Daphnia pulex: one gene and its partner. The protein of the gene in region 2 interacts with the protein of the main gene of each other region in a pairwise test. Links are inferred from orthologs where the notes say so. Each region holds a gene or a part of one and is shown on either strand. Other genes may lie near its edges. The genes, in order: transcription initiation factor TFIID subunit 4-like and transcription initiation factor TFIID subunit 1-like.

Region 1 (6,586 bases), about 980 kb from region 2:
CAAAAGAAGACTACTTGAGATAAGCTTTATACAACAGAGGGGATCTTATAGTTCCTTTCTCTTCTTTTAGCAGGAACAGTAAATCCCGAAGATTTACGCGCTTGACACGCGGTCGTAAAGGCACCTAAAACAAATATTGGAACGGTAAAAATTGAATTCTTTTAATGCAATATAAAGTTCGATTTTACCTGGTTGTAAGAGCCGGTAGTACCAGCCAGGTCGAGTTTGGGCTTTTTCCTTATACCAATAGCTTGCAAGGCTGTCATGTTGGCCTCGCGTTGTCTCAGTTCCTCCATTTCCGCTCGTTGCATCTGTCAATTAATAAATTTTTCAAAGTTTAACAACATTGAATTTGAAGGTGACAGTTATAACGAGATATTTTATCACGTACCTCCTTTGCTTTTGCTTTCAACTTTGCCTGTTCAGGATCTTCAGCTTTCGAACGTGATTTTGCTGCTTTCAAAAGCATTTCGCGTTGAATCTCGCTATGCCTTCGTCGCTCCAACTTGTCCAGTTCCTCGAGGAATTTTAGCTGACCCTTGACATCCTGTTGGACTTCGTAACGAGCGTCTGTTTTGACAACTTCCATTCGATGCTCGGCGGTGACGGCAAGCTTTTCCAACAATGTTTTCAATCGTTCTTGAGTGGCATGTGATATAAGCGAAACTACTTCCGGACTAGGATCTCCTAGACCGTTCCTGGAGGCTAAAAAACAAACGTAATAAAATCATTAGCTTTGTCGATTTCTCTAACAAGAAAACAGATGTCAATACCAATTTGTTGGATTCTCCTCTGCAAGGGACCGGTGAAAAGGAAATTTTCGTCTTTGCAGGATCGAATTTGAGTACCAATCATATCGGTGGAGCCAAGAATACGCTGCGATTCTTCTGCCAAGTTAACTCCACCCATAGCCGCTACATCGTTGATGTCGTTGTCCGCTAGACCAGCTAGAGACGAACCAAACGTAAAAGCTTTTTTCTCCTTCGAAGCGTCTTTGGGCCCAGTTGGTACAGGTAGAGGACCTTTGATACCACCCGGACCAACGGAAACTGTTGCCGCCGAAGTCGTTGGCTTTGTTGCCGTACTAGACGTCGGAACCGAAGACGTCGATGCTACCGTGACCAAAGGTGTAGGACCCGGCGTTATGGCAGTCGGCGCTGATGTTACTCCTCCGACTTGTGGCAGGTGGATGGTAAAAGCGATTGGCGCTGGGGACTCGGAAGTAATGGAAGGCTCCGTCTTGATAGTAGAAACAGCCGTCATTGTGGTCGAGGCAGCGGCCGCCGTTGTCGTGGCAGTCACTTTAGGTGCCTGCTGGGCTGCTTTGGCCTTTGGAGTGGCTTTATTGGCTGCTGGTCTAGGTGGCCGTGGAGCGGGTAGAGTGCCAGCAGAGGCGCCAACCATTGTAGGTGTTTGGAGTCGAACTTGCCCACCCATTGGCCGTACAGTTTGTATCTGCGTTGGCCCGGCGTTCACTCGGTTGACAACACTCTGTTGTTGAGGATGTTGTTGTTGTATAACCATGGGCTGCGGAGCGTTGACCGTAGTTAAGGCTGGCGGTCGGATTCCATCAATATGCAACTCTCGTAAAGCTAGGGATTGTCTCAAGTAGGGCAAGCTTTTCTGTGAAACCAAATAACAAGAATCCAATATAAAGAACAAATACAAACAACGTACAGTCGAGTGGTAGGATCAACTTTACAATACCTTGAGAAATGGAATGAGGCAAGGCTGAGGAGAGGAGTTGAGTTCTCTTTGGAGCTTCGTTGTAAACTCCTCTGGTTCAACCTTCGCATCAACTAAACCCTGAATGAGCATTTGAACGTTAGTGGCCACAGATTCCGGCTGTTCACTCGCTAGACGTAGCAGAGTGGACAAAAAGTTTTTGCACTTGACTTTGGCCGTGTCGGGGGTCATCTGTAAGTGGATATGATAAGTTTTAATAGCCATCCTATTAAACATCGAACTTGTTTGTATTCACCTGTCCAGAATTACTGGCTGGATTTGATGCTGGGGCTGCGGTGGGAGCCGAAGTGTTCGTAGGGGTAACAGACACACTCCCACCAACAGGTGCCGCAGTCGTAGCGGACACAGGTTGAATAGTTGTGGACACGGGGACTTGCAAACGATAAGTAGCCCCAACGTTTTGATTCATCGTGGGCACAGCGTTCGAAGTCGTTGTTAATTGTTGAATATTTTGTTGTTGCTGCTGTTGTTGAGGTTGTTGTTGTTGTTGCTGCTGCTGTTGGGCCACATTTTGCAACGAGGGAATGTTTGAAGTTACAACTTGTGACCCAACTGTCGTGCCGGCTACAGGACCGGGACCGACACGTAAGAGCTGATACTGTCCCGTTTCGGTTTTGACGAGCAAGTGACCCTGAGCTCCCGCAGCCTGGAAACCCTTTTAATTAGAGAATCAATCAGCACGGGGATTTATATTATTAATCGATACGTTACTTGTAAGGCTTGTAAAGTAATTCCCATTTGTCCAGGTCGAGCACCAACCATCTGTTGAGGTGCCAACATCACACGAGGAGCAAGCGTCCGATGAGCTGGATTGTTCAAGGCGGCCATATTTTGTAGGTTTTGTACGTTTTGCGGCCTCATAGCATTCATGTTCACTACTTGCACACCCGCAGGAAGAATTCCTGTCCCCGCACTATTTATCACGGTCGTCTGCTGCTGCTGTTGAACCACTTGGGTCCCCTGTCTTAACACTTGAGATGAATTCAGGGTGACTGTTCCATTAGTGTTCAGCACAGTTTGTTGTTGTTGTTGTTGATGATGCTGTTGCTGTCCCATCACTGTTGTTGAAGCTACTGTTTGGTTAACTTTAGTCGGAATGATCATCGTAGGTTGCTGAGAAGTAGCTGTTGACGCTACCATCTTCTGTTGTTGCTGATGGATCACCATACCAGACAGTGTTGTGTTAACGTTCCCTGAGCTTGTGACCACTGTGCCATTTGGTAGACCAATAGCACCTCCTGCAAATTGTTGGATGTTGACCATACCTATAGGAACGAAAGAAGTACAATCAGTTATCAGCTCATAATCCAAGTCCAATACAGTTTCGTTCATGAAAAAATAACATTGTCGTGTTACCACTGGGATTGCCATTGGGAAGTATTGAATGGACGGTGGTGGTGTTTGGTAAATGAATAGAAGAGACTGAAGAAGGGACCGTTGACAGCGCCGATCCGATCGGAACTGATGCTGCTGGCGCGCAAGTTGTTGTTGCGTGCAGGCTACTGCCGTTTCCCGCGAATGTTGCCGTTGTGGTGGCAGCGGACGGGGTATTGGCAGGCTGCAGCGGTGGAGGAACCGACGAGGTAGAGCTTGTCGTAAAAGCCAAGCCGCCGCCTTGTGTGTTATTACTAGCACCAACATTTGCATTACTCAACTGGCTCTCAAGTGATCCAACTAACGCGGAGACAGCGTCGGCATCCGCTGACGGGTTCGAGATTAAATCGTCCAGGAAGCTAGACGCCATTTTCTGCTCCGAACCCGGTTCCCAAACTGACTGTAAGCAGCTCATTTCCCAACCTCTGCCCTAGCGGCAAAACGTTGAAACGTGTCACTCCTCCCCTAGCATAGTCAAACCACCTAGTGTTCATTTTTCAAACCCTTTACTATATTTTTTTGAATTTTCTACTCTTGTATTTAATAACCGCGTGTGTGCTTACTCTAAAGGATATCATATCAATGAAATATAATAGCGTGTAAATCTCAGAAGTATGGGGCTATTATAAACTTTACAACTTTTCCTATACTATTTGAACTTAGTCAAAATTATCGCTGTCATCGTCCGTTGTCTTGGCGGTTGGTTTCTGGAAGTAAGTCTTCTCAAGGAACTGGCAAGCCTCGACCAGATTCGGGTAGGATCGCACAATGGATGCTAATCTATTGTCGGGCAACGGTGTGGTCAGCAAAGTAAACACATGGCCAAAGACAACCGCATCTAATTCCGTGCATCTAATGACGAGGAACAAAGTCAGCACTTATTTTATTAGAAACCCATTTTAAAAAATTTAATACCTATCATTAAAGAAATAAAGGTGGTTTCCTAATCGCTCACTTAGCGCATTACAGCAATGATCAACATCTTCATATACCTGCAGGAAAATAATAAATAATTTTCTAATGCAAAAACTATTAGACCAAACAAATCACCTCATCAAGTGTTTTGGTAATCCAGCCAAGAGCAGTTAATTTCTTAGTTACTTGTTTCTGTTTTCTCCAGGTTAGCAGAGTGTTCAAAGGCCAAGAATAGACAGAGCCATAACGAGGACCAGTTACTTCATTCAAAACAGTTTCATCACACCAGCTGATATATAACTAAGTAGGAACAAACACTGCTCATCAATCACATAACACACAAAAGTAGTTACAAATATAATAATATAATACCTCTGCATTTCCCAATATATTGTTTGCTAAAGACATGTAAGCTCTCATGTCTGCTTTTTGAGCAGCATCCAAGTGATCTGTAAGATTTATACCCTACAAAAAAAAACACGTCATAAAATGGGATTGTAGAGAAAATATTGAAAATACCTTGTTGCTCACAAAACTGACAACAGGGTCAAGATCAGCTACTACAAAGGCACCACATTTTATGAAAGGCAATTTTCCGGATGGTGACATATGCTCAGCATTGCTTCTCATTTCCACCTAAGAAAAGAAATAAATCAATAACTTAAGATTTCCTTAGTTTTAGTTTTCCAATTTACCTGAAATTCTAAACCACACATTCGCAGAAAAACTTGGACAGCCAAAGAATTGGCTTGATCTTGCAATAGAATTTGTTCAACTTCATAGGGCTGATAAAGTTTGACGTCAGAAGGCCAAGGTTCCAAAGCTATTAGGTTTTTTTAAAAGTGAGAAATAAATGTGAAAATATAAAATATCCAAAATGATTACCTCCAAGCTCTAATGAAATAGAGTCTGTTAGTAAAACTGATGGCATTATCGTAATGAATTAAACTTTTATCGGCTAAAATAAGAAAATCACAACATCAATACGGAATTATTTTTAGATCGGCTGCTGCGGTTTTTATTCAGAGTTGCCAAATTACGCAAAAATGATGAACCCAAAATAAATTTCAAAATTGGATTTTTCTAATAAGCTTAATTTACTGACCAACTAGTAACTAGATATTTAAGAATTGTAGTAAAAATTTGTCATTGAAATAATTATTGCATCATAAATCATAATTATATTTGTAATCAAACGTATTCAAAATTCAAAATGTTTTGCTGTGAAAATACAGGTTGATAGAGAATGTATTAATTAATAAATATTTCTACCAATTTGTTTTTTATATTAAATATAGTTAAATGTTCACCTGTAACGTAACTTTCTGCTTTTCAACGCCCTTCTAAATGCATTTCTACGAAATGTACTTGCCACATCGTACCGCGAAATGCGAATGTCGCTAGAACACGTCGTCGTGCTCCACATAATAATCAGTTCCCTTTTTGCAAGCGTAAATTTCCCTCTAGGACCGACCTGTTTTTGTGTGTTTTGAAATCTGTTTTTAATTTACTGCTCCTGATTTTTACCTTTAAAAAACTTGATTTCTGACCCAAGTTCTATTATTTGTCGAAGTGCGCGTTATTTTCTCGTGATGGTAATTGATACCAATTGATGCTAAAAAAAACCGTAACAATTCAGTATCTTGTTTCCAGGATGCCGAAAGTGGTCGCAACATCAAGTTATTCACAAGTTTTTCATTGACCGCTTTTTTGTAGTGAAATTTCAAGCTATATTTAGCCTTCGAATAAGGCAAACTATTCGGGGATTTATTATTAATGATATGCGAAACGTTTTCCGGGAGCTCTGCCGACTTTTTCCACGAGACAATGACGAAGATCTTCGTTGAGGGTCCATTTCGAGACTTTTTCATTTGTTTGTTGTATTAGAAATTCAAGGAATCGCGTTGTTTGGTGCTATCTGACGTCCTTGTGTCAACAGACCTTGTCATCGCCGTCCCATCGTAGCCCAGACAGACCAAACCTTTTTCGGAGAAGAGTCGTAGACTTTTGACATTTCAATATTTATCATTCGGGAAAATATTTTTCATCCGACTGCATTTATTATGCACGTAATGCGCTTTCGAGCAATAAAAAACGCAACGGGACTCGGCCAACTCTCTCAATTGAATTGACTGACAATGTCACCAAATTATTTTCCAACCATGTAGGCAAGGCTCCCAACGCAAGATGGCGCTGAGCGACTTCTCATAACAAATGCAGACAGCGCCACGTTGTCACACGTCAACAAGAAACGCCAGATGAAAATTATATAACACAGTAGAAATCGACTACCAAACATTTGTTTTAGTTTATTCAAGAAATTCTCGACTTTCAAAATACAAACCAGCTCATTGAAGAAATTATCTCGATCCGGAATCTTTATGAATGACTCAGAAGTTGTTGTTGTAATGTGAATTGTTATCTACATCACCCGACATTTCTGATAACAAATTCTTTTCGTGTGATCTGAAAATGTGAACAATACAATTATTTTGACGCAGGCCAGACGTTAAATAAGTGTCGTTTTCAATCCAAAGCGATATTGGAGATA
Region 2 (6,469 bases):
ATGGCCACAACCATCGGTGGCAACGGGGTGGTGTTTTGATAGAGCGGGCAAGCTTTATTGGTCCTCATGTGACCCACCTATCGATACATTAGCATAATTAATAAACAGAAACAAGGCCGTTAATTACAAGGAAAGTTACCTGTCCGCAGGCACCGCATTTCATTTTCAAATCGGGCTTCATCTTGACTTTACGACGGCGATTGTTAACGATGCCTAATTTCTCTTTTTCTTGATTGCGTTTGAGTCGTCTGAGTTGCTCCTGGATTCGACGTTTCTCACGTTTCATTTCCTCCTTTTGGTGCTCGTCGGGCGTGGCAAACTGTTTGATGAAGGCGTCATCTTTGGTCGTTCGTATTCGGACGTAAGTGTCGATGATGGCCGGTTTGCGAACCAATTCAACGCGGGTGTAGTCTTTGCCCTCGGCGTTTTTGAAGGTCCGGAAAATTTTGAGCACTCGACCGGCCTGTCCGGCTCCTGCCAGCGGCGGTTGAGATGAACTGTCTTCTTCGTCCAGTCCTACACGGCTCTTATCTTTCTTCATGGAGCCCGATCCTTCGCCGAGGATCATCTTTTGCAATTCACGACGCTCCTGTTCTTCCCGCTCTCGGCTCAACTGGCTGGACGTCTTTTTATTGGCCAGCATGTTTTCAATGTTTTTACCCATTTCTTCGATATCAGAAATGTCTTCCTCCTCTTCGCTTTCGCCTTCGTCGGTGGACAAAACTTCGTTCGAGGCCAGGACTCGGTTTTGAAGATCAAAAATGCGTTGACACTCCTCCTTGTATCGCTCCTGATGCTCGGCAATGGAGAAGCGATTACCACGGGAGAATTTGTCCATGCCTTCCTCGCCGGCCTTGGCCTTTTCGGTGGAAAGTGTTCGGACGACGTCAATAACTTCCCAGCGGGAGAGTTTCTTGATTTCCTCCTCAGGTACGCCGTGTTTCCTCAAAATTGCTTTTGCGTTGTTGAGTGACAATCGACGCAAATCGGCGTCGGTGCCCGTCACAATACGTTTAGGTTGAGATTCCAGCTCTTCCTTGTTGATGGTCGGTTTGTTGGGAACGCGGACGTAGGAGAAACCTTCGCCACAACCGGTAGGATCTGCCGGACCTGTTAATTGCAGGAGACATTTGTTTTTCATGGCCTGGACGTAGGCGCGGGTGGTGTTCCATGGGGCTACTTTGACTTCGTCGTCCATTTTCAGTTGCTGGTCTTCGTCGTCATCCTGCTCAGGTGCGAAAAGGAATTTCTCACCGTAACCGGCGTCTTTCAAACGCTGTTCGGCCGCGATCATACTGAAATAGGCGCAACATTGCTCCGGCGACACTAACGCTCGAAGCTCTTCTTCCGAAGGTAACCGGAAATCCGGCCGCAATACCCACCTGTTGAATTTGTCGGTAACCAAAAATGAGCAATTTGGACATCCGTTGGAGTATGAATTATTATACTACGAAATACCAATTGGAGTCGACTCCTGTTCGCTTAAAGTCCGCGCATAGTTTCAACCGTTTGCGGATACTGCTTTCGGAATGTGCTGGGAAAGCTCGTTTAATGTCATCCATGCGGATACGACGTGGAGTGTCGGGGCTCTTCCAAAACAGTCGGTAGATAAAGACCTGAATTAAAATAAACATTTTGTTTGGATGTTTCATAGAAGACTATTAGAATGACTTTAGTTGAATACTTGTAGGAAATCGCGGGTAAAGTTGTTGGCTCTTTTAGAATTCGGACCGGGCACTTCGTACAGTGGACATTCCTGACCGACAGTGTAGAATGCATCGACTTCACGGACATGGTACGTTGTCCGCGTTCGAATTACTAGGAAATCCGTCGACGGCAATTGATGTTCGTAGATTGGTGCACGGTACATGTTGTTTTCAATAGCCTGGATGGACTGGCCCGGATGGAGGGTACCCAAAAACGGTGAGGTGTGAGCGTAAGCTGTTTCACCGTATTTGTATTGAGGCGGCCCTGTGTCTTTGACAGCCCTGTGAAATAAATTAAATTTAAGTCTCTCGATCAAATTCCGTTTTAAAAATGAAAACTCACTTCCGTTTGTAATAATTTTTCAGCCTGGAGGACATGCCCACTTGACTGATTAACGGCGGGTGTTCTTCGCAGTATTCCAGGAGAATGAGATCACCATCTTTACCGCTGAGATCATCCGGTGTTCGCATGAAAAAGATATCACCACCACCGGCAGCCATTCGCTCGAGTTCACGCTGTTTGGCCATTTTTCTGATGTGGCGTAGGAGCGGGTGGACAGGATGAGGGCCAGGTGTCGATAACGGTCCATGGGAGTAGCGTTTGAGCGGTGGTCGATGGAAACTGCGCAGTTTCATTATCGACAGGTGCGTGGGAATGAAAGGTGCCTGGAGTTCCACCACGGGCGTTGAATGTTGAATGATATTTCCACCCGTGCTGACTGTAATATTCCATAAATTCCAATTAATTAAGTTTTTAAAATTTAGTTGTGATGGATTAATTTACCTTTGATAGCCGCCTCGGTCGCTTTGGCTGCATAATATTCGTCATTGGAGATATTGTAAGGATCTTTATCGTTATTTTCCGACGGTGGAGGAGGTGAATCGTCTTCCAATACGTTAATGACACCGGCTTTTCCCAAGAGTAACTTGGATTTTCGGACGTGAGGATGAGGAATCTTGACTTTGACAGGCTGTTGAACGTATGCTTGTTTTGTGGCAGGATCAATGTCATCAGGAATGGTCAAAATGACGTTTTCATCGTTAGTGTCTAGTGTCAATATCTTGGGTTTGGGCATCTCCTTCATGTTTTCGCTGTCCCAGATGATGTCATCTTCCCACTGGCCAAACACCAACTCGTCGTTTTCGACTGGGAAAATCGAATGCCAAACGTCGTCGGCTGCCTCTTCGACGGCTGCAGCAGCAGCAGCCGCAGCGGCGGCGGCAGCGGCTGCTGCGGCCGCTCCTCCGGGTTTGTTTGCAGCCGATTTTGCGCCACCTTTAGCTCCAGGAGTTGCTGCTTTACCGGTGGCTGGAGTGGCAGCAGGGGTGGCTTTCTGTGTAGCCAAGCGATTGGTAGCCGTCGGGAGCCATCCTGAGGCTAAGCCACCTTTTGCATTCAATTTTTGCATTACTTTGTGCTTGATATCGTCGCCATTCCAGACCACGTCGTCTTCCCAATTTAACTGCGTGATCATGTGAAAGGCCTCGTCTGGAAATTTGAACCCGGGCAGGTCTTTGCCATCTTCGTCAACATTATTAGGATCTTTCCGTTTCACTTTGAAACCGTAATCAAACTCTTCTCCTATAAAAAGCAAGGAAACGTTAATCAAGTTCAAATAAATAATTAATTAATTGTTATACCTGATTCTGGAACTCCAAGGATGTCATACCAAAGCTGAGCCGGCCCAAACCTCCAATCCGCTACATTGGGTCCTTTGTCATCATCAGAGTTCTTGATATTATTGAGAGCATTAGGATCTTCTAGAGGCTTTAAGAAACGTTCTTCGTCATCTGGTCTGCATTTTTCCGGAGGAGGAGGTGGGCCGAATTTGAAAGTGATTTCTACATGTTCAATTTCCTCTTCAACATAGTCTTCTGAATCTGGAGATTTCTTCTTCTTTCTCTTCTTCTTTACACCTCTCCAGATTTGAGGAAGACTACTGGGTTTTCCAGGCCCAAAGAGTCTGGAAAAGCACAAGACTTTGTCAGGCCGAAAGTCTGGGAATAGCTCTCTCACATCTATGTTAGCGTATTTGGAAGGAAGCATGGCTGCCAAAGGCGTTTCCAATCGTTTCTTTGCCTCACTTGCCGAAAGGCTCTTGGATGTTGGTGTAGGTGGTGGTGGCATGAGGATTGAGTCATCAAGATATGGTCCTCCTTCGTCTTCTGCCAGTTCGTTGATGTCAGAATAGTCTTCAGCAGTTGGAGATTTTGCTCCATCATCTTCAGAATCTGTACTTTGATCTTTGCTTACAGAATCGTCTTCTCTAATGACATTTTGAAGTATTGACATCAAGCCAAATCGTCCAAGGGTGCCCAGCTGACGTTTAGATTCCTCATCAAGGATATCTGCTTCAAGTTTACCCTCTTTGTCAATATTACCAAAGAGGAACCCAGTAAGGTTTAATCCTGATGTTCTTCTACCTCCTCCACCTCCGTCTTCTTGAGATGATTGCGAATCGTCATCATTATTATCGGGGCTATTACTCAAATCTCCATCATCATCACTACTGTGATTTTCGTTTTCTTCATCACTGCTTGGCATTTTGGATGTTTTAAAATCCTAGCTTTAGAAGAATCACGCAATCATAACAAACACAAATTTAGTTTTACTTTTTTTCGGTCATCAAATCAACACAAACAGGCTGACGGGAAGCCGAAAATTGTCTTGATGGTAAATATGAACAGCGTTGCCAGGTTTAGTTTCAACTCAATTTCAACTTGATTATTTTATTTAAGAATTGTTAAATGACTAAATAATTCCAGAAAAGATCATTGAATTGTTTACATAAATAATTAAGAGAAATAACTGGCCAAACTACGTGACAAGATTCCGTGTGAATTCAGATGACGTCATTCCATAGAGAAATATGTAGGTTATACGGCCCAGTCGAGTTGGCAACTATCCATCAAACTTTCCATTTTTGGTTTCATCCAGATTTTTTTACCCTTTACAACTGAATTCATTTTATGCATTTTCGGGAATTCATTCATTTCGCAATATCGATGAGATGAGATAATTACATAATTCTTGATTACATCAATCGGGTTCATATAGGGTCATTAGGGTCGAAGTACACCCCAATGGGGATTCCTCCCCCTATTTGATAATCTTCTAACATAAAAAAAGTAAAAGGCGCCAAAAGGGCGGCATTTTCCTATCCCCGTCACGTGAAAATGCCTAAGGCACTTGTAAAATCCGTTACTAACGGATTTTTGGATTGGTCCTTAGAAAAATCGAAGTCCCAGTAGATTGGCGAAGGCCTTTCATATAAGCTAACTGAAGTGAATTGATCACAGGTGGCGTTGCACAAAACTACATTCAATTTTAATTAAAAACTGCAAATAACTGAAAAATTACATTTGTAAAATTCTCTTGAAAATAGCACATTATTATTAAGGCAGAGAAATGGTCAATTAAGGTTCAAGAAGTGAAGAAATGATATTGTAAATTATGATCAATTCCGACCTAGCGGTCATGACTGGAAACTTGATTAAATGCGCAATCTCAATCGAGTTGACAGGCCTTTGAATTGTGGCCGTAACCAAGGCACCTTAGAGGGCACCACTGAATTGTTAAAAGACCGAAGGTAGAAACTCAGAGACCAGACTCGTACTCTTCCCTTTCGTGCTCGAAGTCTCAACACGTGCACAATCTGCCCGGCTCTCCCATCGTTTCTGCTTGTTGAAAAAAACCACTGAAAATGTCTGGTAAAACCGCTGATCCTCTGTCCTTTGCCAAGGACTTTATCGCTGGTGGTGTTTCGGCTGCCGTTTCCAAGACGGCCGTCGCCCCAATTGAACGAGTTAAGCTGCTCCTTCAGGTTCAACATGCCTCCAAACAGATCACGGCCGACAAGCAGTACAAGGGTAAGATGGCTGAATCCCCTCCCCCCCCCCTTCTCTAGTTACTTAATCGGGAGAGATATTCTACCGTTGGTTCCGAACCGGCTCACGCCGGCACGGCGCCATGTTGGATCACAAAAAATCCTTAAGTTTTTCTCGCAAAGTTTAAAAGATATTTTTACATTGTTCTTGTATGCTCAGCTAGTATGTTCGTTCGCCTCATGGGCTTTTGATCATGTAAACCAGTTTTTGCTAGTTCTGGAATTGAATGTGTGTGACTTGAAAAGATAAGATTTTGGATTGTGAAAGTAACCATATATGAGTTTTACATGAGACTCATAATTGGGTCAACACCTAGTATCTATATCTTGTGTGAACTGGGTTTTTACAATAATTTATGTTTCTTTTTCCAGGTATTGTGGATGCCTTTGTCCGTATCCCCAAAGAACAGGGCATGACAGCCTTCTGGCGTGGTAACCTTGCCAATGTTATCCGTTACTTCCCCACTCAGGCCCTCAACTTTGCCTTCAAGGATGTCTACAAGAACATCTTCATGAAGGGAGTTGACAAGAAGACCCAGTTCTGGGCCTGGTTTGCCGCTAACTTGGCATCTGGTGGTGCTGCAGGAGCTACCTCTCTTTGCTTCGTCTACCCCTTGGACTTCGCCCGTACCCGGTATTATACAGAATCATACGTAAAAACTAAAAGTACAAAATATGCTAACTAATTGCTTTATTGACTAGTTTGGGTGCTGATGTCGGCAAAGGAGCTGCCGAGCGCGAGTACAGTGGTTTGGTTAACTGCCTAACCAAGACCGTCAAGACTGACGGTATTGTTGGTCTGTACCGTGGATTCAACGTCTCCGTGCAGGGCATCATCATCTACCGTGCTGCCTACTTCGGTCTCTACGATTCTGC

The links.
Region 1: the proteins of transcription initiation factor TFIID subunit 1-like (region 2) and transcription initiation factor TFIID subunit 4-like interact in binary tests that used the Drosophila melanogaster proteins (3 or more experiments, as listed by UniProt). The link is inferred for Daphnia pulex from reciprocal best matches to the Drosophila melanogaster genes Taf1 and Taf4.

The regions. Positions count from the first base shown.
Region 1 is NC_060026.1:12,793,294-12,799,879, forward strand, and holds the start of transcription initiation factor TFIID subunit 4-like, read right to left. Parts: upstream 3,543-6,586; 5' UTR 3,536-3,542; coding exon 3,103-3,535; intron 3,012-3,102; coding exon 2,458-3,011; intron 2,402-2,457; coding exon 1,982-2,401; intron 1,918-1,981; coding exon 1,708-1,917; intron 1,624-1,707; coding exon 774-1,623; intron 706-773; coding exon 392-705; intron 312-391; coding exon 189-311; intron 125-188; coding exon 11-124; 3' UTR 1-10. Other genes in the region: metaxin-2-like, read right to left, coding at 3,780-3,972, 4,036-4,112, 4,171-4,335, 4,408-4,500, 4,555-4,671, 4,731-4,858, 4,921-4,966. UniProt on the Drosophila melanogaster protein: TFIID is a multimeric protein complex that plays a central role in mediating promoter responses to various activators and repressors.
Region 2 is NC_060026.1:11,815,712-11,822,180, forward strand, and holds the start of transcription initiation factor TFIID subunit 1-like, read right to left. Parts: upstream 4,393-6,469; 5' UTR 4,252-4,392; coding exon 3,348-4,251; intron 3,289-3,347; coding exon 2,491-3,288; intron 2,426-2,490; coding exon 2,050-2,425; intron 1,989-2,049; coding exon 1,685-1,988; intron 1,617-1,684; coding exon 1,459-1,616; intron 1,383-1,458; coding exon 140-1,382; intron 78-139; coding exon 1-77. Other genes in the region: ADP,ATP carrier protein 1-like, read left to right, coding at 5,411-5,576, 5,966-6,227, 6,296-6,469. UniProt on the Drosophila melanogaster protein: TFIID is a multimeric protein complex that plays a central role in mediating promoter responses to various activators and repressors. Largest component and core scaffold of the complex.